Linked DNA regions of Arabidopsis thaliana. The protein of the gene in region 1 interacts with the protein of each later gene in a pairwise test. Each region holds a gene or a part of one and is shown in the gene's direction. Other genes may lie near its edges. The genes, in order: NRT1.9, LUT1, DWF1 and RK1.

What was found.
Region 2: the proteins of NRT1.9 (region 1) and LUT1 interact in a protein complementation assay, tested with the Arabidopsis thaliana proteins (one large-scale study listed by BioGRID).
Region 3: the proteins of NRT1.9 (region 1) and DWF1 interact in a protein complementation assay, tested with the Arabidopsis thaliana proteins (one large-scale study listed by BioGRID).
Region 4: the proteins of NRT1.9 (region 1) and RK1 interact in a protein complementation assay, tested with the Arabidopsis thaliana proteins (one large-scale study listed by BioGRID).

Annotation. Positions count from the first base shown.
Region 1 is NC_003070.9:6,519,025-6,523,896, forward strand, and holds NRT1.9 (Major facilitator superfamily protein), read left to right. Parts: upstream 1-1,696; 5' UTR 1,697-1,775; coding exon 1,776-1,866; intron 1,867-1,916; exon of another isoform or gene 1,917-2,100; intron 2,101-2,370; coding exon 2,371-2,588; intron 2,589-2,685; coding exon 2,686-3,239; intron 3,240-3,316; coding exon 3,317-4,217; 3' UTR 4,218-4,344; downstream 4,345-4,872. Other genes in the region: ICS2 (isochorismate synthase 2), read left to right, coding at 1-9, 105-152; AT1G18871 (uncharacterized protein), read right to left, coding at 285-461; CDPK1 (calcium-dependent protein kinase 1), read right to left, coding at 4,444-4,617, 4,735-4,872. UniProt on the Arabidopsis thaliana protein: Low-affinity nitrate transporter facilitating nitrate loading into root phloem. Not involved in dipeptides transport, but has a weak glucosinolate transport activity.
Region 2 is NC_003074.8:19,690,761-19,698,107, forward strand, and holds LUT1 (Cytochrome P450 superfamily protein), read left to right. Parts: upstream 1-1,996; 5' UTR 1,997-2,051; coding exon 2,052-2,549; intron 2,550-2,698; coding exon 2,699-2,995; intron 2,996-3,084; coding exon 3,085-3,282; intron 3,283-3,371; coding exon 3,372-3,473; intron 3,474-3,571; coding exon 3,572-3,712; intron 3,713-3,781; coding exon 3,782-3,889; intron 3,890-4,050; coding exon 4,051-4,133; intron 4,134-4,230; coding exon 4,231-4,393; intron 4,394-4,488; coding exon 4,489-4,518; 3' UTR 4,519-4,931; coding exon of another isoform or gene 4,932-5,309; intron 5,310-5,418; coding exon of another isoform or gene 5,419-5,755; intron 5,756-5,863; coding exon of another isoform or gene 5,864-5,928; intron 5,929-6,295; coding exon of another isoform or gene 6,296-6,595; 3' UTR 6,596-6,782; downstream 6,783-7,347. Other genes in the region: VPS37-1 (Modifier of rudimentary (Mod(r)) protein), read right to left, coding at 1-129, 210-330, 422-468, 556-595, 1,026-1,113, 1,208-1,390, 1,717-1,730; AT3G53140 (O-methyltransferase family protein), read left to right, coding at 4,932-5,309, 5,419-5,755, 5,864-5,928, 6,296-6,595; UGT73D1 (UDP-glucosyl transferase 73D1), read right to left, coding at 6,976-7,347. UniProt on the Arabidopsis thaliana protein: Heme-containing cytochrome P450 involved in the biosynthesis of xanthophylls. Specific for epsilon- and beta-ring hydroxylation of alpha-carotene. Has only a low activity toward the beta-rings of beta-carotene.
Region 3 is NC_003074.8:6,878,978-6,883,991, reverse strand, and holds DWF1 (cell elongation protein / DWARF1 / DIMINUTO (DIM)), read left to right. Parts: upstream 1-1,676; 5' UTR 1,677-1,780; exon of another isoform or gene 1,781-2,363; 5' UTR 2,364-2,375; coding exon 2,376-3,617; intron 3,618-3,713; coding exon 3,714-4,157; 3' UTR 4,158-4,468; downstream 4,469-5,014. UniProt on the Arabidopsis thaliana protein: Plays a critical role in the general process of plant cell elongation. Involved in the synthesis of campesterol, an early precursor of brassinolide.
Region 4 is NC_003070.9:24,466,806-24,472,979, forward strand, and holds RK1 (receptor kinase 1), read left to right. Parts: upstream 1-1,976; 5' UTR 1,977-2,126; coding exon 2,127-3,405; intron 3,406-3,816; coding exon 3,817-3,951; intron 3,952-4,054; coding exon 4,055-4,245; intron 4,246-4,321; coding exon 4,322-4,532; coding exon of another isoform or gene 4,533-4,537; exon of another isoform or gene 4,538-4,617; coding exon 4,618-4,855; intron 4,856-4,958; coding exon 4,959-5,109; intron 5,110-5,197; coding exon 5,198-5,524; 3' UTR 5,525-5,667; downstream 5,668-6,174. Other genes in the region: AT1G65780 (P-loop containing nucleoside triphosphate hydrolases superfamily protein), read right to left, coding at 1-83. UniProt on the Arabidopsis thaliana protein: Involved in the regulation of cellular expansion and differentiation. Mediates subcellular relocalization of PUB9 from nucleus to plasma membrane in a protein-phosphorylation-dependent manner.

The DNA of each region.
Region 1 (4,872 bases):
ATCTCTCAGGTGAAAAAGTCTTCAAGAATGTTGTTAAACACTCTCACTGCAATTTCCATGTCTTTTATGAAATCTCAAATCAGATTGATATGTGTTTTCTGCAGTTCACTAAGTCACTTGAACATGAGTCAGCTTTGCAACCAATCAACTAAAGAAAGGCGGGAATTGAGATTGTTTAATAACTAAATTGGTTTGTATCATTTGTGTGTTTGGTCATTGGTGTGTATATTGTAAATAGAAGCAACACTAATGATGATGCTGCATGGTACACTTTAAATCTTCTTTTAGCTACTTGTTGTCCAATTTCTGACCAGACTAGAAGCCTTTGAAGCGACTATGACTCTATGAGGTCCATCAAATGAAACACTTACGCACGTTGTGATCCAAAGCTGACGTATATTTCCACCTTCACGAAAAAATGACAAATTATTTAGGAATATTATGTGACAATAACAAAACATAATAATTAAGGCTCCAAAAACAAATCTTTATTACTACTTATTAACGAACGAACGTAATTAGATTACCGATAGTGTGCTAATGGGGTTTCAGAAAAGTGATGGGTGGTTTCTTTTGGACTAATCCAATCAAAAGGGATTTGATTTTTTTGGGTTATATCATTTAGGAAAAGATACTTTTTTGTTCCCTTGATAATCAAAACTGTCTTCTCCATCACTCATATTCTCTTCTAATTGTTCTCACAATCATATCTCACTATAAAATTGAAATGCTTTATTTCTGTAGCAATAATTTCAAAGACAACTTTCTATTTATTATGAAATTAATATAAATATTCTTTTACCCATCACTTGAAAAAGAAGAAGCAAATGTACATCTTTTTTAGATAAGACTTTTAGTTAACATATACTCTTGTTCTCCAAATTAAATCGTAATTCGGTGGGTTTCTATTTTTGATAGTATAGAAAATTTCGAAATAAATGTCTAATTCATTCATTCATTACTTATATAGATATATTTTAAAAAACCTAGAAATGTACATGAACTATAATCGGTAAAATAAAAAAGAATATGGATATTAGTTGACCGCCAATAATACAATTTACCCCTCTTGAGGGTCATATTTATCAAAACGAATCAACATGATTTTTGAATGCAATGGTCGTCTCCTTATTTCTCTTTTGCATGCTTAAATGTTTCTTTTACATAATTAAAGTTTTGAGAAGAAAAAAAGTAACGGTAGCGAGAAGATTCCTTTTGCATTTTTGAAAGTTTATTGCATTCAACTAAAAAGCCAATTGTCAACATTACAGAAATATGTTCGTATTGGCACAATATATGATTCTTAAACAACTCTTCTTAGCTTTCTTCTTCTTCTTTTATCATTTTTTCATATTGTTTAAGAATACCTACTAGATGAAAAGTAAAAGGATAGATTCGTTGTCGATATTACAGATATTAAAGATGAACTCTTGACTGCTACTTAATGTTTAAATAACGAGTTAAGAATATTACATAAGTCATGGCAACAAATAAACTAATAAGTTATCCGAACGTTAGTGTGTTAGTTGACAAATCAAAACAATGAAGTGAGGAATACCAACTCCAGTCCTCTCCTTTCGATAAAGCCGACTCTTTTTACTCAAATCTATATTCTAATCCAACACTTTTGTTTTGGTATAATCTCCAAATAGCTTTTTTGGTCTCATAATGAGATCCTTCTCACTTCCCACTAATATATATATACACACACACATATACTAACACATTACACACACTTAGAGAAAGCAGAGCAGAGCATAGAGAAAAACATAACAATGGAGGTTGAGAAGACAGAGAAGAACATTGCAGAGGATGATGAGTCTAAGATCATCTACAGAGGATGGAAAGTCATGCCCTTCATCATTGGTATTTATTCATCCATATTCTTTCTTATATATATATATATATATTTTTTTTTTTTGATAAATACTTTTGTTTGCTTACAAGTATAAAGTCATCATGTTTTTTTCATCAGTTTCTTGTTCGTTTCAAAATTATGATTTTTGTTTACTTACACTCATAATCTTGAAACGAACAAAAAACTGATGGAAAAACATGAGGACTTTATACTTGTAAATAAATAAAAATATTTATTAGAAATAAATAAACAAAAATATAAGAATATTTATTAATTTCGTGCTCTTTTAGTATGTTTTTATTATTATTTATGAAACATTTGATTCATTGACAAAAAAAACATTTGATTCATAAAATTAAAACATAGGACTTTTTTTATGGATCTGTTTCTTTCATGTTTTTTATTTTTATTTATTATAACATTTTTGGTCTTGAAACGAACAAGAAACTGATAGAGAAAACAGAGGATTTTATGAACAGAGTAACTTAATGCTCTGTTTCTTAATTTGGTAGGAAATGAGACATTTGAAAAATTGGGGATTGTTGGAAGTTCATCGAATCTGGTTATATACTTAACGACGGTTTTCAACATGAAGAGCATCACGGCTGCGAAAGTCGTCAACATCTACGGTGGCACAAGCAACTTTGGCACCATCGTCGCTGCTTTCCTCTGTGACTCCTACTTTGGCCGCTACAAGACCCTATCTTTCGCCATGATCGCTTGCTTTCTCGTAAATTCTAAAACCTATTCATCACAATTTTCAGTTTGAAAAAAAACTAGCTGATTATGTCTGAAAGTTTCAATCGTTTGTTGTGTTTGATGCAAAGGGTTCGGTGGCAATGGATCTAACGGCTGTGATTCATCCCCTGCATCCAGCTCAATGCGCTAAGGAAATAGGAAGCGTGTGCAATGGGCCATCCATCGGACAAATCATGTTTCTCGCCGGAGCAATGGTTTTGCTGGTGATCGGAGCCGGTGGGATTAGGCCATGCAATCTTCCATTTGGTGCTGATCAGTTCGATCCGAAGACAAAAGAAGGGAAACGAGGGATTGAGAGTTTCTTCAATTGGTATTTCTTCACCTTCACGTTTGCTCAGATGGTGTCGTTAACCCTCATCGTCTATGTTCAGTCAAACGTGAGCTGGAGCATTGGTTTAGCCATCCCAGCTATTCTAATGCTACTTGGTTGCATCATATTCTTCGCTGGTTCTAAGCTCTATGTCAAGGTTAAAGCTAGTGGCAGTCCCATTCACAGCATAACTCGTGTCATTGTTGTCGCGATCAAGAAGAGGCGGTTAAAGCCCGTTGGGCCTAACGAGCTTTACAACTACATCGCCAGTGATTTCAAGAACTCGAAATTGGGCCATACAGAGCAGTTCAGGTACTAATAACCTCACTACTTCTCTTAGTTTCTTGTGGAACAACTTAGAAACATTTTAGGGTTTTCTTAATTTGCAGGTTTCTTGACAAATCGGCAATCCAAACACAAGACGACAAGCTGAACAAAGATGGGTCGCCGGTGGATGCATGGAAACTCTGCAGTATGCAACAAGTGGAGGAAGTTAAATGCGTGATCCGGGTGCTTCCGGTTTGGCTCTCGGCCGCCTTATTCTACCTAGCTTACATTCAACAAACAACCTACACAATCTTTCAGTCTCTTCAATCCGATAGACGCCTTGGTCCAGGAAGTTTCCAGATCCCGGCCGGTTCTTATACCGTCTTCCTAATGCTTGGAATGACGATATTCATACCTATCTATGACCGCGTCCTTGTACCTTTCCTTAGAAAGTATACAGGCAGAGACGGCGGTATCACACAACTGCAGAGAGTTGGAGCAGGACTGTTTCTATGCATCACAAGTATGATGGTGTCTGCAATTGTAGAACAATACAGAAGAAAGGTAGCTCTCACAAAACCGACGCTAGGGTTGGCCCCAAGAAAAGGCGCAATCTCTTCGATGTCCGGTATGTGGTTGATTCCTCAGCTAGTGCTAATGGGTATCGCGGACGCCCTCGCTGGAGTTGGACAAATGGAGTTTTACTACAAACAGTTTCCAGAGAACATGCGAAGTTTTGCTGGTTCTCTGTATTATTGTGGAATCGGATTGGCGAGTTACCTCAGCACCTTTTTGTTATCGGCGGTACACGATACCACAGAGGGATTTTCAGGAGGAAGTTGGCTTCCGGAAGATTTAAACAAGGGAAGATTGGAGTATTTCTACTTCTTGGTTGCTGGTATGATGACTCTAAACTTGGCCTATTTCTTGTTGGTCTCACATTGGTACCGTTACAAAGATGTTGTGGCCAAGGACAAGGACATGGACAAGACTTCTGCTGAGTTTGATAAGGTGTCAGTGTAATAAAGATCTTTCCTTTGACTCTTTGGTTTAGGGGCTTTGAGACAATAAAAATACAACCTTTGAACAAAACATTACATACAAAATACAATGTAAAATGTTTATATATGTAAAGAACCATAGCTTCCGTAAAATTCCCATCCCTCAAAGAACAAGCCCGGAAAATTCCCAATTTATGAAATGGGGAAAAAACGGAGCATTGCTCTGTTTTTGGTGATAACGAATAAATTTAAACAGGAACAGTTTGTCCAGTGAGAGCGTCATGGAGATGCAATGACCCATCTTTCATCAAGTTAATGCTTAAGCTTTTGAACCTCTCTCTTGAATATTGTCTCGATGCCTTTCTCCAGTCAGTTCCAGCTTTCATCATCGTCACAAACTCATCATAGTTTATACGTCCGTCCTGTAAAAAGCAAACAAGCCCAACAATCCGACTCAGAAGCAGAGGGATATATCTTTTCTCTTGACAAGCTTTATTGTTAGGCCTTAAAGGAGGATTTTTTTGGATATTTGAAAGAACCTTGTCAGTGTCAACTTCACGCATGATGTCGCTTAGAACACTGGCGTCTGGCTCGCCTAACTCATCCGCTAAAGCTTCCCGTAGCTCATCAAGTTCAATGTATGTACTTCCATCTTTGTCGAAAAACATAAAAGCTAG
Region 2 (7,347 bases), on another chromosome or scaffold:
TCAATGCTCGTCGATGATAGGTAGTACGAAGCTTCTTGTATTTCTGCACAAATGCTGCTGTATCAATCTCCTTCTCTAGGAACTTTTCTTGCAGGGCTTCGGATTCTTCATCCACCTGATTCATAGCCTCTGCAAAACAAGTAAAAGGTGTTTAGAACAGTAGAGAAAATGAGACGAGGGGAGAATCCATTGCAATGGTAAATTGTTACCTTGAAGTTTATGAAGAAGAGAACCAGGGGAGTAGAATTTGAGGATCTCTTCTTTTTGCCTCTCAAGCTCATTAAGCTTTTCTTGCGCAGTTGCGAGCTCAGTTGTACGGATAATTCTGCACTGTAAAATAAGTAAAGACTGGTAAATCAGAGATATCGAAAAGGTATAACATGGTAAAACTGAACAAGAAAAGTTGGTTCTTGATACACACTTGGTTTCTGAGCTCCATTATCTGTGGCTCCTTCTCCAAGTTGTCTCCTGTTACATTTGATCAAATGGAAAGTTCTAGATTTCTGGATTGAACTAAAGTTTCCTGTAGAATTACATGAACCATAGAGTACTTACTAGCTAGCTGCAATGTTTCTCTACGGAGCTCATCTTTGATCTGACGGACAGAAACAAATCACGAAAAAATTAACGTCCAGAGACTATAACAAGGAACCAGAAAGCTGATGACATGATACAGGCTTTATCAAACAATATCAATGTATAGACTTGAAAGAGCACTAATGAATTATATCAACACAGAACTAAAGAAGCTACATATTCTTAGAGCTACAGATAAGACCCTCGGTTATCCAGAAACAACCGACTGTTTTAGAGACTATAACAAAGAACCAGAAAGCTCTAATTACTGGCAACATGTAGAAGATGACGCCATGATAAAGGCTTCCTCAAACAATATCAATGTATATACTTGAAAGAGCACCAATGAATAATATCAACACATAACTAACGAAGCTCCATTCTTAGGACTACAATTAATAGTAATACTCTTAGCTATCCAGAAACAACTGACTGTTTTAGAGACTTACATTATTCTGGACTTTGACCTGGTCAAGAGAGAGCAGAAATTGCTGATACGCATCTTTGTCAGAGAGAAGCTTCCTGAGTTCATCCACGCTACAGAAAAGTATACACTATTCAAAAAGAAGACATACAAAAAAAACGCACACTCGAGAGAAGGATAACAAACAAACAAACAAAAAGAGCAAACCTTTTGTCTTTCAAGAAGACGATAATGCCAGCTGCTTCACCCGGTGATACTTGTGCTGAAATCTGACCTGAACTTTGAGGCCGGGATGAGCTTGGCGAGCTAACTAAAGAAGGCGAGTACCATGGCGACTGTGAAGAAGCTTCCTGAGGACGAGATTGCCCTTGTTGTTGGTCTTTTGATCCCCTTCACGTACACAACAAAAAAAAGAAACATCATCAACTAACTATCTCAGCTTCCAAGTTAATATAATACATCACCTCATAAACTTGAAAGGTGCATTTATACAGCACATCATTGTAAACCTAATATCAGTAACTATGAACCCTAAATCAGTAGCTGAGCAAAATCTACACTTGTCAATTCACCTCAAAAACCTCAAATATATCATTATAGCTCAACAAACTACACAACAACAAGATTTCCTTAATCGCTAACAGACCTAATGTCTGGATCACGCAATTTCATCAATAACATATGAATCAGATGGCAAAAAATTCGCAAAATCATACCAGAAATTGAACATCGTTTCTAGAATTCGCCGACTAACGAAAGGAATTGACTTTTTCTTGTTCTCTTGTACTTCTTCTTCCTACCAGATCGACAAAATTTAACAACTTTACAGAAACAGAGTTTACAGAGTTTCAAAGAAAATTCGATCTTCTCTGTTTCGTTTCAGATTTTGCTACTTGCTTTTAAAAGGCCCAAATACGAGGAGGCCCATATTAAGTTTTGATTAACAAAACGTAGTCGTTTTATGCATCGTCGTCCTTATCCACGCGTAACGGTTCGCGTTTCTACACAGAGTCAAATATTTCTGCACGGAAGCTTCGAAAAGAGGTCATCAATGGAGTCTTCACTCTTTTCTCCATCTTCCTCTTCTTACTCTTCTCTCTTCACTGCAAAACCTACGCGTCTTTTATCACCAAAACCCAAATTCACATTCTCCATCAGATCCTCCATTGAGAAACCCAAACCCAAACTCGAGACCAATTCATCGAAATCCCAATCATGGGTCAGTCCCGATTGGCTCACAACACTCACTCGTACCCTTTCCTCAGGAAAAAACGACGAGTCAGGTATACCAATCGCGAACGCGAAGCTCGACGATGTCGCTGATCTCCTCGGAGGTGCTCTCTTCTTACCTCTCTACAAATGGATGAATGAGTACGGACCCATTTACCGTCTCGCTGCTGGTCCTCGTAATTTCGTAATTGTGAGCGACCCAGCGATAGCTAAACATGTTTTGAGGAATTATCCAAAGTACGCTAAAGGCTTAGTCGCTGAAGTCTCTGAATTTCTATTTGGTTCGGGTTTCGCTATCGCTGAAGGACCTCTTTGGACAGTAATTTCATCTCCTCCTATCTCAATTTTGAAGTTTTTGGAATTGTGGAAGTAATGTGTGACTGTCTTGTATGATAAGTAACTCTAATTTTAGGGTTTAGATTCCAATCTTCTCTATTGGGCTTAGCTGAAGTCTGATTTTTTACATAGGCGAGGCGTAGAGCGGTGGTTCCATCGCTTCACAGGAGGTATTTGTCTGTGATTGTGGAGAGAGTATTCTGCAAATGTGCAGAGAGGCTTGTTGAGAAGTTGCAGCCTTATGCAGAAGACGGAAGTGCTGTGAATATGGAAGCGAAGTTCTCTCAGATGACACTTGATGTCATTGGGTTGTCTCTTTTTAACTACAATTTCGATTCTTTGACTACTGATAGTCCTGTCATTGAAGCTGTTTACACTGCTCTTAAAGAAGCTGAGCTTCGTTCTACTGATCTTCTGCCATATTGGAAGGCAAGTTTCCTGTGTTTTTTCTGTGGTTTGTTGATTGTGTGGAACAATTGGATTCTTGTTAATTGAGAGGGTTTGGTTGTTTTTTTCAGATCGATGCATTGTGTAAGATAGTCCCGAGACAGGTGAAAGCTGAAAAGGCTGTAACTTTGATAAGGGAAACTGTTGAAGACCTTATTGCTAAGTGTAAAGAAATTGTCGAAAGAGAAGGCGAAAGAATCAATGATGAGGAGTATGTAAATGATGCTGACCCAAGTATCCTGCGTTTCTTGCTTGCAAGCAGAGAAGAGGTTTAAACTTTTTTCCTTAAGTTTATAAGCAAATTTGGCCTTTCATTATCGCATAATCGAAGCTGATGTTGCATTGTGAGGGTTTTCAGGTATCAAGTGTGCAGTTACGGGATGATCTTCTCTCAATGCTCGTAGCGGGTCATGAAACCACTGGATCTGTCCTCACTTGGACACTTTATCTCCTAAGTAAGGTACCTTAATGTATCTTCTACTTTGCTATGCTAGAGAATTTACTTGGATGGGAGCTTCTCTGTTCTCATTTACCTCTTCAAATTCTCTATGTTCATAGAACTCATCTGCATTAAGGAAAGCACAAGAAGAAGTAGACAGAGTGTTAGAAGGAAGAAACCCGGCTTTCGAGGATATAAAGGAGTTGAAGTACATCACTCGTTGTATAAACGAGTCAATGCGTCTCTATCCTCATCCTCCTGTAAGCAATCAAGCTCATCTCTCTAATTATTCATGAACTAAATTTTCTGATTGATTTGTTTCCTGGTAGGTCTTGATAAGAAGAGCTCAAGTTCCTGACATTCTTCCTGGGAACTATAAGGTCAATACCGGACAAGACATTATGATTTCAGTCTATAACATCCATCGTTCTTCCGAGGTACAGTTCTCTTCCTTCTCTCGTCCATAGTATAACATAGGGGAGCCTAATCCTTCTCTTCAATGATCTTTGTGTGGTTCGGATATCTAACCGGAGTGGACATTCCTAGTATTACATTCATGCCCACATTTCTTATGTGTTTGTTGTTTGTTATTCCAAAGGTATGGGAAAAAGCTGAGGAATTTCTGCCTGAACGATTCGACATAGATGGCGCAATCCCTAACGAAACAAACACTGATTTCAAGTAAACTCAGTAGAACACATCTTTTGACACAAACTACTGAATCAAGATTAGTGGTTTTGATTAGGGAATTTAAAAGATGATTTTCTTTTTTCACCAGATTCATCCCATTCAGTGGAGGGCCTAGAAAATGTGTAGGCGATCAGTTTGCATTGATGGAGGCAATTGTGGCACTCGCGGTGTTTCTTCAGCGGTTAAACGTTGAGCTGGTTCCTGATCAGACCATTAGCATGACCACAGGAGCAACCATACACACCACCAATGTATGCCAATGTTCTCACACTCGAGAGATTAATGAGAGTGTCTGTTTTGTTTAGAATGATTCCAATTTCTCTAATGCTGATATTTTCAATTTCAGGGATTGTATATGAAGGTGAGCCAAAGGTAAAAACCAGAATTTATGTTTTCATGATAATTGATTGGTGTGAATGGACTTGTTTCATAGTACTCTTGAGAAATAACCACAAAAAAATGAATTATGGAAAATAGTTGTACCATCGGAAATGTGAATTTTGAACAGTGAGATGCTAGTACCATTAAAGTTTGGTAATTGTGTTATCATTTCAAATCAAACTTTCATACAGCTTGTGTTTGTTCTCCATTTTTCAGTAATTACGAAAATCAAAATTTTATTTTTTTTTGAATTTCTAAATAATAGACTAAGGTCTAAAACCATCCCATTCCATATGGACCACACGTAACATTAACCTTAAAAACCATATAAAACCATATAAAACCAATACTAGTGGGTTCTATAGCGATGTGTAGTTTCACTTTCACGTACGAGGAAGATTAAAAAAAATGGAGAACGAAAGCTCAGAGAGTAGAAACAGAGCTCGTCTTGCCATTATGGAGCTTGCTAACATGATTAGCGTTCCCATGTCTCTCAATGCCGCCGTGCGACTAGGCATTGCCGACGCCATTTGGAACGGCGGAGCCAATTCTCCTCTCTCTGCCGCCGAGATCCTCCCTCGCCTCCACCTACCATCTCACACTACCATTGGTGGCGACCCCGAGAATCTTCAGCGTATACTTCGGATGCTCACCAGCTACGGTGTCTTCTCCGAACACCTTGTTGGATCCATTGAGAGGAAATACTCTCTTACGGACGTCGGAAAAACTCTTGTAACCGACTCCGGCGGCCTCTCTTACGCTGCCTACGTCCTCCAACATCACCAGGTTTATGACTCATTTTCATTTTCCAAAATTGGAGTGATATATTAAAGGACTAATGATGGTATAATAAACTAATGTCTAAAACTTGTTGTGAAAATGATATATATTACAGGAGGCGTTGATGCGAGCATGGCCACTAGTTCACACGGCAGTGGTGGAGCCGGAGACAGAGCCGTACGTGAAAGCAAACGGCGAGGCGGCATACGCTCAGTATGGGAAAAGTGAGGAGATGAATGGTCTAATGCAAAAGGCAATGTCTGGCGTATCTGTACCGTTCATGAAAGCTATATTAGACGGCTACGATGGGTTTAAATCAGTGGATATTTTGGTTGACGTAGGAGGTAGTGCAGGGGATTGTCTGCGTATGATCCTTCAACAATTTCCTAACGTCCGTGAAGGGATTAATTTCGATTTACCTGAAGTTGTTGCCAAAGCCCCCAATATTCCTGGTGAGATTTTGTATTTATGATATATTGTACGTACGTTATTTTCTGAAAGTAAAAAGCTATTTTTAGTAATGTACGGAGTAATAATGGATGATATATTGTATGGTTTAGGAGTGACTCACGTGGGTGGGGATATGTTCCAATCAGTTCCTAGCGCTGACGCTATCTTCATGAAGGTTTGTTGTAACATTATTGTCTGTCACGAGAATACACCTACTAACATTTTTGCTAATAGGACGAATTCTAGTTTCTGTATATAGTTTTAATGTTTAGTGATATAGGTATAAATTTATAAGTCGCTTCGGACAATATGTTTGGTAGTATATAGTCTTAGTTATCGTTAGATCATGCGACTGGTCACTTTCATTTATTTATGATCATTTAAATATTGATTATACATTTCTCAAACCAAAAACTTGTGATCTGTTAGACCATGGATAGGGATCTCATGTTTGTTGAAAGAACAACACAAACAAATACACACATTTTTTGCTTCTCTGGTCCCAAATTAATATCTTGTAATATTGTTGTTTGAGTGTAAAGTGGGTGTTAACGACATGGACGGATGAAGAATGCAAGCAGATAATGAAGAATTGCTACAACGCGTTACCAGTTGGAGGAAAGCTGATTGCGTGTGAGCCGGTCTTGCCTAAGGAAACCGATGAAAGTCACCGGACTCGTGCCTTGTTAGAAGGTGACATCTTTGTCATGACCATCTATAGAACCAAAGGTAAGCATAGAACCGAAGAAGAGTTTATAGAGCTTGGTCTCTCCGCGGGATTCCCTACTTTTCGACCTTTCTACATTGATTACTTCTACACCATCTTAGAGTTTCAGAAGTAATATTCAAGCATTTTTCTTCTCATATTTCTAAAAGCTTCAAAATAATGAATCAAAAGACCTCTTTGTTAATTGAGTTGAGATATCTAGTGAAGACATTAATATTTTCATCAAGATGTAATAATCTAAAGTCTATATTCTAAGTGCATCCTTAAAAGGCATTTTCCATATATATAAGTTTCATCTTTCGAGAAAAAGGAAAAAAGACTCTTTAAGTGATGATTTCAAGAGTATTTCTAAATCACTCATTAGGCTAAGAGAAGAGTTCGAAAGTATACATATTATGCACATTATATCTATATGAATTTTTCTTCTTTGGCAAAAAGAAAAATCGTTTGGTGTTATTCTTATAAATCTTATGTCAACTTCTACATTCGATTTTTCTACACGAGACTCAATTGCTCCAAAACATCTTGGATTAAAATTGAAACGTTAATACTCGAAGATCCCTTTTCTTCCACAGCCTTTTTCGCCATTACTGCAAGTTCTTGAATACGTCTCCTTCGTCTCACGAATTCATTATCATCATCATTTTCGTCTACACGTTGACAATCTTGGTCCATCAAAAGCTTTATAGCTTTCACAACACTCGGTTTCTTGACCAACACTCCAAGTCTCTCCTCGTCTCCCCATCTCACCGGAATCTCCACCCCAACCCTAACCCCGATGTTCAAAACCTCCACGATGAGTTTCTCATTGAGAAATTGTTCAGCGAACAACGGCCATGTGATCATTGGTACACCAAAACATATCGC
Region 3 (5,014 bases), on another chromosome or scaffold:
GTCAAGCGTCAACCAAATTTTCACTGACGTCAAACTGTCAATGTCAAAAGGTGTGATTCGCCAAATAGACATTTATTTTTCCATACTACAAAAAAATGATTTGTAGCTGTAAATGTGAGTAAGAAATTAGTTGGCATATTTTAAAGAGTAAATATATTTTATGAGAGATTTTGCAAGAGCTGGATATTTTCTCAGACAGGCCATCATCCCTGTAATTTTTTTTTTCTTTCTATGTCAAATAAATAAATAATTACTTTTTGGCGACAAAAAAAACTTTTTGAGCACTTCATTACTTTAAAGTGTAACCATTTTTCTAAATAAATCATGATTTTATTTGCTTTTCTAAATCAACTATTAAAATACTTAGGTGGAAATCAAATAATTGGTTACAGTAACAGAATTATATATTGAGAGCCTTTTTCACCAAATAACGTGATAGTTTGTGTGTTTATTACTGTATTATGTAGGCACTGATAATGATACAAATGATTTCATATATGAATTTTGATGAAAAGCATGGCTATTGGGATTTGGGAAAACATTTCTCATCACAGCCGTAGTTTTTTTTTTTATATAAATAAGAGGCATTTTATATAAAATTTTTTACTACACATTAGTTTCTAAAATACTACATTGTAATCTGAATAAGATGAAAGTGAATGACTAATTCACAATTGTTTTGGCTTAAAAAAAACACTCATTTGAAGATCCCTTAAGAGTTGAGAGAAAGATATAAGGAACTCTCATTAGCATTCATAATGTATAATGTTTTCAAGATATTTTAGGCAGTGCTTTTTTTGCTTCAATCATAACATATCAAAACTAAATGTTAAAGATTGTTGTAATAACTATTATGATAAGAAAAGTTGTAATGAACTTTTTGCCAATAAACAATATATAAGATCGTCGGCTTAGTAACCTCACGAGGATGGAATGTGCTTTAGGTACATCAACAAACATGTAGGAGGACTGTTTCGCTAAAAGCATTTAGAAAACAAAAATCAATACAATCAACCCATAAAATGCATTTAAAAAAAAAACGAATTGGACAATTACATTTCCTTCATTGGGCACATGTCTTCCTGTAATTTATTGTGATTTACATACCAAAAGAAAGATATATTTTTCTATTTAAAAGAAATTTAAACTGCTAAGATTTGTTGCCTTTTTTTATTTATTTGCTTTTACCTATTTATAGCAGTAAACTCTTTTCAGAAAAAATATCCCTACAAAGAATTTGTCCTCATATTCCTTTTATATGCTAACTGCTAAGTAAGAAATTATATTTTGGAAGATATGTCTAATTAAGCTCTAGGTTCGATTTACATATAATTTCTAAATGTTAAAAGAGTTGGTAAAAATATATTAAATACTGATATAAGTAAAAACAATTTATTTTTATTTTCTTACATCAGAATTATAAACTAAAAAATTGCTCATAAATATAACACATGTGATTTATCAACATTACAACTAACATCGAATTTTTAATTGCGATAACAACAAAGAAACTTAGAAATATGAAAAACCACTTATACAAACCCATGAAAAATATACATTATATATTTCTTAATTTCTATATTTTTGCGTTATTATTACCTTTTTTATTTTAAAATTATATAAAAAAATGGGAAATAAAAAATACCTTGTTTTGAGCGAAAAATGCAAGTGAAGCAGGCTGGCTTGAATCACGTTTTATTATAAAGACAAATGCTCTCACACTCTTGGGGACACTTTCACATCTCATCCTCTCACTCTCTCTCTCCTTTGGATTCTTCAGGTACTCTCTCTACCTCTCTTTCTCTCTCTGTCTCAGTCGCTGACTTATCATTTCCTGTCGTTAGATCTCTCAGTACTTGGTTCATAGTTGTTTCATAGCACGCACTAGTGAACTATGTGGGTTTTTTAATTTTAATCATCTCAGTCTTGGAGAATTTCAAACAAAGTTTCAAACTTTGCTCACCAACTTTTATTTATTTATTTTGGTGGTAGAAAACAGACTTTGATGGCTTTGTAGGAATACTAGATGTGTAGATCTAAAGATTATAACCATTTTCTGTGTTCTTGTTCTTTCAGAACATAACTTCATGTCTTTTTGTCTCTCTGTTCACTAGCTCTCTGTTTCCATGGACTCCACACTATCTTCTTCTTACAGATTTATTTCATACACATACACTGATACACATGTGTGTATACGTATGTGTTTATGTGTGCTTATTATACTCTTTTTGGATTCAAGAAACTAATCTTTAGTATTTTTGACATTCTGGTAGATTTATGCTCACTTCTTAGGCCTTGTTGACTTTTACAGTGATGGATTTTGAAACTCTGGTTGATTTGATTTTCTTTTTGGTTTGATGCAGTGAGGAGAGGAAATGTCGGATCTTCAGACACCGCTTGTGAGGCCCAAGAGGAAGAAGACTTGGGTTGATTACTTTGTCAAGTTCAGATGGATCATTGTCATCTTCATCGTCCTTCCATTCTCAGCCACATTCTACTTCCTCATCTACCTCGGGGACATGTGGTCAGAGTCCAAGTCCTTTGAGAAACGTCAGAAGGAACACGACGAGAATGTCAAGAAAGTCATCAAAAGGCTTAAGGGTAGGGATGCTTCCAAGGACGGGCTTGTCTGCACTGCTCGTAAGCCCTGGATCGCTGTTGGAATGAGGAACGTTGACTACAAGAGAGCCCGGCATTTCGAGGTTGACTTGGGGGAGTTCCGTAACATCCTTGAGATCAACAAGGAGAAGATGACTGCTAGAGTGGAGCCTCTTGTTAACATGGGACAGATTTCCCGTGCTACCGTCCCAATGAACCTGTCTCTCGCTGTTGTTGCTGAGCTTGATGACCTTACCGTTGGTGGACTTATCAATGGATATGGTATTGAAGGAAGCTCTCACATCTACGGTTTGTTTGCTGATACCGTTGAGGCTTACGAGATTGTTCTTGCGGGTGGAGAGCTTGTCCGCGCCACAAGGGATAATGAGTATTCTGATCTTTACTACGCAATCCCGTGGTCGCAAGGAACTCTTGGACTCCTTGTAGCTGCTGAGATCAGGCTTATTAAAGTCAAGGAGTACATGAGACTCACTTACATACCAGTCAAGGGTGATCTTCAAGCCTTAGCTCAAGGTTACATTGATTCTTTTGCTCCCAAAGACGGTGACAAGTCGAAAATCCCGGATTTCGTCGAAGGCATGGTTTACAATCCAACGGAAGGAGTGATGATGGTTGGAACATATGCATCTAAAGAAGAGGCAAAGAAGAAAGGGAACAAAATCAACAATGTGGGATGGTGGTTCAAGCCGTGGTTCTACCAGCACGCGCAGACCGCCCTGAAAAAGGGACAGTTTGTTGAGTACATCCCAACTCGTGAATACTACCACAGGCACACAAGGTGCTTGTACTGGGAAGGGAAGCTTATTCTTCCATTTGGTGATCAGTTCTGGTTTAGGTACCTCTTAGGTTGGTTGATGCCTCCAAAGGTCTCTCTTCTTAAGGCCACTCAAGGTGAAGCTATCAGGAACTATTACCATGATATGCATGTTATTCAGGATATGCTTGTTCCTCTTTACAAGGTTGGCGATGCACTCGAATGGGTCCACCGCGAAATGGAGGTAAAACTAAAAGCTCGGTTTCATGATTGATCATCTTCTAGTTAAAGTTTCTTTTGATGTTATTAACAAAATCATGAATTGTTTGTTCTCTTTCAGGTGTATCCAATTTGGCTTTGCCCACACAAACTCTTCAAGCAGCCAATCAAAGGCCAAATCTACCCAGAGCCAGGCTTCGAGTACGAAAACAGACAAGGAGACACAGAAGATGCACAGATGTACACTGATGTTGGAGTCTACTACGCACCTGGCTGTGTCCTAAGAGGTGAAGAGTTTGATGGATCAGAAGCAGTGCGTAGGATGGAGAAATGGCTGATAGAGAACCATGGATTCCAGCCTCAGTACGCGGTGTCTGAGCTCGACGAGAAGAGCTTCTGGAGAATGTTTAATGGTGAATTGTATGAGGAGTGCCGCAAGAAGTATAGAGCTATTGGAACGTTCATGAGTGTTTACTACAAGTCCAAGAAAGGAAGGAAGACTGAGAAAGAAGTTAGAGAAGCCGAACAAGCTCATCTCGAAACTGCTTATGCCGAGGCAGATTAAGTAATAATAAGCCTTGGTTTGATGTAATGGCTCGGGATGATTATTGTTATTCCTAGTAGTGTCTGTTATGTTGTTGTTTCCTAATTTCAGTTTTAGTGTCTTGAAGACTCTTGTTGTTGTTGTTTGCTTCTTGTTGTTGTTTGACTCATTCTGGTTTGAGTGGATTTTAGAGTTTAAAACTTTTGGATTTGCCTATGAAATTGAAGGTTTCCGGTTTTATCGTGTTGCTTGACTGTCACAATGTAAGCATGTTGCTGTAATGAATTAATTGATCTACCAATTTGAGAGATCATTTCAACTTCTCTCTTTATACCACCACCAACTAGGCTTTAGATCATTCACGACGTGAATCTAAAACACTAAAACCCGACTTTGTTAGTTTTATTGGGGTGCGGTTAGGTTTGATATAAACCTGGAAATACCGGTATTTGAACCGAAGTTGACCGGGTGAGACTTTTTAGGATAAACCCAAGCAGCCATTTCCGAGTAAGAAGAGCTCTGTTTCTGAAAGAAGTTTTACAGAGTCGATCGTCTAAAGCGTTGTTGAAGCACTTGTTAGTGGTAAGTAATTTCGATTTATTAATTCTTGTTGTATCTTTTGTATTCGAAGTTACTTGCTTGTTTTTCGATTTCGTCTCCGTCATGATGTTTGCGGCTCTGTTAATTGGAAGTGGAAAGGTCTGTCCTTTATCTACATAAAATGGTGCATAGAAGGTGTTCGACCAAATTCCTAGCTCAAATTCCTTTAGTTACATTAGCTCTGACTGGAATGTAACTGTGAAGTCTCGATACCCAATTCATTCTTTTCAAAAACAATTGAAGATTATTATTTCCCTTCTCAAGATTTTCTGTCTTTT
Region 4 (6,174 bases), about 18 Mb from region 1:
AGATCAACATTGAGAACTTCGTCAAGAGACCATGAGAGCACCAGATCGACTAAATCTCTTCCTTCAATACGCATTCTCGGCATTTATATTAAAGTTACCAAACTCGATTTCGTACTCTGAAAGATTAACGCAACAAAACCCATTAAACAAGTGAACCCTCAAAGGTACGAACTTTACACTTTTGGCTATAACAGAGAAGCAAAAGGAACTATTTTTACGAGAACCATTGATCATTGAAAGGTAAAGTAAGGTTTTTTCTTCTTTGTTCTTTTTGGTAAACAACGTCTTAGGATTTTGAGATTCGCAATGAAAAACCCTAAATTCTAACGTTGGCTTGAACATTAGAGCGTGTGGCAACGAAATTTGAAGATGATGCAATGAAATTTTAGCCGCTTACTTTGAATTCGAGTTGTTGTTGTCAGAGTTTGATTACTTCGAGACGAAGAAGGGTTTGGTTTTGGGAGACAGGAACAGAGGTTTCTTTTAGAAGGACATGGATGAGTAAGGATTTGGAGGGAAAGGAGGAGAAGAAGTAATTAACTAAAATGGTAAAATTTTGGGGCTTTCTTGAGTTATTTGTTTACTTACGGGTCTACTATGTAAAGTAATTACGTTTCGTATTTAACCGGTTTACACGCTTTCGCAATCTAGCCTATCTACGCCATAAGCTAAACATGACTAGATAGTCCTATAAGGCTATGACAATAATGTTAATTTAAAAAAAGAGGATGTGTTCGTGGATGTTTTAGAGAGAAGCTAGAGAAGAAGAAAGCAATAGAATTTAGTATATTCTAAAATCTATTTCTATTTTTTTTTGCATTTGCATAGTCTTCAACATTAATAATAATTATTTGTATTGACAAAATTTTCATAAAATAAAATCTATGTCAAATAATATTATAAAGACAAAATTTTACACAATAATACAAAATTATATATGAATTAGAAAAAAATGTTGAAGGTAATATAGCAGTTAACAATTTCTTGATTCATTTAAAGAGAGAGTGCATCAATTAAGAGCAAATGTTATGAGATGGCTCAATTCTATGCAAAAATAAAAAGATAAAGTTCTAAAAATATAAAGCATGGAAATAAAATATTGATAACTCCTTCAAGTGGTATTGATGAGTTTATACGATCTGAACAAGTAAGAATCATACAAAACAAATCAAGAATAACAACAACCTATGATTGCACCTAATATTTATTGACAATATTTTGGTGACTTTAAAGGAATTGTACGTTGTAAAATCGTTTATGTAACAAGTCTCATTATTTGTAATAAATAATAAATTTTATAACTAAATTTTATAAATAATAAAACAGAAGGGCCCATAAATATTTTGTGTATTGCTTTTGTTTTTAATAACTAAATTTTATTAGAACTGTCATACAATTTTTTTTAAATAATGTAAAATCTTTAAAAGAAATTTATAAGGGCAGCCAAAAAACAATTTTGTTCTAGAACCCATGATAGAATTGAACCGGTCATGATGCGATGGCCAGTACACACAGCACTACGAATACGAAGCTCTGCCAAACAAATGTCATTTTGTAGTCTAAGGTTAATGATTTACTTGTCTAGCGAATGAAATAGTTGAAGCTTGGTGGTGTAAGTTAATTTCTTTCATGAATTGATATTCGTAGGAAAGGAAAGAAAACCAAAAAAAAAAGATTATTTATAACGAGAAAAACACAAATTAGTTTTATATCTCTCTGAGACACGCATAGGCCTGGCCACACACACACACAAATAAGGAGTGTTGACGAGATTTGTTTCTTTTTTGCGTAAACGAAGAAAGGTCAGTTACTAAGAAAATTACAAAAACACTGATAAGTAAATGTCTATCTAACGAGTTATTTTCTTGTCATTTGCTAGGTCAACTCTATAGTGACAGAGTCTATAGATATTTCAAATGCGAACAAGAAGACCAAGAAAACCAAGAAAACCAAGAAAAGACAGCCGAAAATGAAATATCATCAACAATGTAATATACAGAGTAATCGTGTAAATAACGGCACACATCAACAATAATATGAATCTCCGAAGATAAAAATTCTCAAATTCTCATAAAATTCCCTCAAGAAGAAAGAAAACAGAACACGAGAAACTGTCCTAGAGAGAGATGAGAAGTGTACCAAACTACCACCATTCTTTCTTCATTTTCCTCATTTTAATTCTGTTTCTTGCTTTCTCTGTTTCTCCAAACACTCTTTCAGCCACAGAATCTCTCACTATCTCAAGCAACAAAACCATTATATCTCCTAGTCAAATCTTCGAGCTCGGTTTCTTCAATCCCGCATCAAGTTCGCGTTGGTATCTCGGCATATGGTACAAGATAATCCCTATAAGAACCTACGTATGGGTTGCAAACAGAGACAATCCTCTCTCTAGCTCCAACGGAACTCTCAAAATATCCGGCAATAACCTCGTCATTTTCGATCAGTCCGATAGGCCTGTTTGGTCGACGAATATAACCGGAGGAGATGTGAGATCACCAGTGGCTGCAGAGCTTCTTGATAACGGTAATTTCTTGCTCAGAGACTCCAATAACAGACTTCTATGGCAGAGTTTCGATTTTCCGACAGATACTTTACTTGCGGAGATGAAATTGGGATGGGATCAGAAAACCGGATTCAACAGGATCTTGAGATCCTGGAAAACAACAGATGATCCATCAAGCGGTGAGTTTTCGACAAAACTCGAAACCAGCGAGTTCCCTGAGTTTTACATATGCAGCAAGGAGTCGATACTATACCGCAGCGGTCCATGGAATGGAATGCGTTTTAGCAGCGTACCAGGGACAATTCAAGTTGATTACATGGTTTACAATTTCACAGCAAGTAAGGAGGAAGTGACTTACTCATACCGAATCAACAAAACAAACTTATACTCGAGATTATACTTAAACTCTGCGGGTTTATTACAACGATTGACTTGGTTTGAGACAACACAGAGTTGGAAGCAACTATGGTACTCACCGAAGGACCTATGCGATAACTACAAAGTGTGCGGGAATTTCGGTTATTGCGACTCGAACAGTTTACCAAATTGTTATTGTATCAAAGGGTTTAAGCCAGTGAATGAGCAAGCGTGGGACTTGAGAGATGGCTCCGCTGGTTGCATGAGGAAGACGAGGCTGAGCTGTGACGGTAGAGATGGTTTTACCCGGTTGAAGAGGATGAAATTGCCAGATACCACGGCGACAATTGTGGACAGAGAAATTGGGTTGAAAGTATGTAAAGAAAGGTGTCTAGAAGATTGTAATTGCACTGCGTTCGCTAATGCGGATATTCGCAATGGCGGGTCTGGTTGTGTGATTTGGACCAGAGAGATTTTGGATATGCGAAATTATGCTAAGGGAGGTCAGGATCTTTACGTTAGACTAGCCGCTGCTGAACTCGGTTAGTTTCTTTCTTATTTGCATTTACTAAAGTGGTTCTTACTTTTTGTTTTGATTAAAAAGTTATGACCCAAAGTCAATATATCTTCCCAATCTGCGGACCAAGTCATGTAATATTGTCCCTCTCGAAGCAAAGTTCAAACTCCCTAATCTATAGAGGCTTTGGTCAACAAAGTACATTCTTGATGTTTGGTCAATTTGTTTAGTTTTTTTTTTTTGTCATCTGTTTTTAATTAGAGATCAAAAGATTAATAAGAGTTTAGCTAGATCCAATACCATTATACCAAAAAGAATTTTTGTTTAAGTTAAATTAATTATTTTGTTTATTTTTCGTATTAATTTTTTTTAATCAAACGTACAACAAAGGATATTTTTCGTATAGAAGTAAATATATGCCTCGTTTTTATTGCAGAGGACAAGAGAATCAAAAATGAAAAAATTATAGGTTCGAGTATTGGAGTGAGCATTTTGCTTCTTTTAAGTTTTGTCATCTTCCATTTTTGGAAAAGGAAGCAGAAGCGATCAATAACAATTCAAACACCTAATGGTAAAATAAATCATTAGCTTTCATTTCCTTTATTTTTGTCAATAAATTTTGATAATCAAATGTCTTGATTGTTTTTTTTTTTTTTAACGCCTGAATGAAACAGTTGATCAAGTGAGAAGCCAAGACTCGCTAATCAACGATGTGGTAGTATCTAGGAGGGGTTACACATCCAAAGAAAAAAAAAGTGAGTACCTAGAGCTTCCATTGTTGGAGTTGGAAGCTCTTGCCACGGCAACAAACAATTTTTCTAACGACAACAAGCTTGGACAAGGTGGATTCGGAATTGTTTACAAGGTAAAAGTGATTCAAAACATATTGAAAATCTACCACAGCACATGGTTTCATTGTATAATCACATGTGTGGTAATAGGGAAGATTACTTGACGGAAAAGAAATTGCGGTAAAGAGACTATCGAAAATGTCCTCACAAGGGACCGATGAGTTCATGAACGAGGTTAGATTAATTGCAAAGCTTCAGCACATAAACCTTGTCCGGCTTCTAGGTTGTTGCGTCGATAAGGGTGAGAAGATGTTGATCTATGAGTACTTGGAGAATTTAAGCCTTGACTCGCATCTCTTTGGTTAGTGACTCAAACAGCTTCTGTTCTAATAATTGAACATTTTTGTGAAAACGTTAACTTGTTGTTGGTTGTGTTGGATGTGTAGACCAAACACGAAGCTCTAACTTAAATTGGCAAAAGAGATTTGATATTATCAATGGTATTGCTAGAGGACTTCTATATCTTCACCAAGATTCACGGTGTAGGATTATCCATAGAGACTTGAAAGCAAGTAACGTATTGCTTGATAAAAATATGACTCCAAAGATCTCGGATTTCGGTATGGCGAGGATCTTTGGACGGGAGGAGACAGAGGCTAATACAAGGAGGGTGGTCGGAACTTAGTAAGCAATCATTCTTCAACAAAACAAAAAAAGAGCTTTTATCTCAAGTCCAAATATTTTCTTAAAAACCTCATAACATATGAGTTTATATTTTGTTATGCAGCGGCTACATGTCTCCAGAATATGCAATGGACGGGATATTCTCGATGAAGTCGGATGTTTTCAGCTTTGGGGTCTTGCTTCTAGAGATTATAAGTGGAAAAAGAAACAAAGGATTCTACAACTCAAACCGTGATCTTAATCTCCTCGGTTTTGTAAGCTAAAAACCTCTTCAATTCGATATTGTTTTGCATTCATAATCTGATTATAACACTAAAGAAATATTACATCCTTTATGCACAGGTGTGGAGGCATTGGAAGGAAGGAAACGAGCTAGAGATTGTAGATCCGATCAACATCGATTCTTTGTCATCAAAGTTCCCGACACATGAAATCTTAAGATGTATACAAATTGGTCTCTTGTGTGTTCAAGAACGAGCCGAAGACAGACCAGTGATGTCCTCGGTAATGGTGATGCTTGGAAGCGAAACTACCGCTATTCCTCAGCCTAAACGTCCTGGATTTTGCATTGGTAGAAGTCCTCTTGAGGCTGATTCTTCTTCAAGTACACAGCGCGACGATGAATGTACAGTGAACCAAATCACTCTCTCGGTCATTGACGCTCGGTAATTTGTAACTTACGGCCCAATCTGTTTACATGCATATCATTTTATAGGTAAGTCTAAATAGATTTTATTACTACATATATGATTCGATATCTTGCTCTATCTAATTTAATTTAGACAAAAGATTCACCACATGTTTCACATGATTTTGATTTAGAGCGAGAATTATAAAAAAAAAACATTTAGACAAAGACAAAAAAATGCAAGATTTGGAGTTGTCACTCCAAGATTTGAAGTTTGAGACCGAAACTCAATTAAGTGGGAATTCAGTAATGATTAATATTCACTTTTTGTACATACTACTGATAATAGACCAATACTGGAAGCGAACATAGGACTTTATGGCTATTACAACAGAGGACTTTATGAAACAAATCGAATATATACCTTAAACTTTTATGAATTCATCGGTGAAGCATTCTCTTGCATATAACATTTAGTATGTCGCCAGCAACATTGAAATTTTGTCTATTCTCGTACACACACACACAAATGGTTGAGGATATTATTTTTTTGGAGTAAACGAAGAAAAGTCAGTTACTAGGAAATTACAAAACCATAATTATCAATTTAACGACTTTTAAGGTCATTGACTCAATTCTATAGTGACATAGTCTATAGATATTTCAAAAGCGAACAAGAAGACCAAGAAAA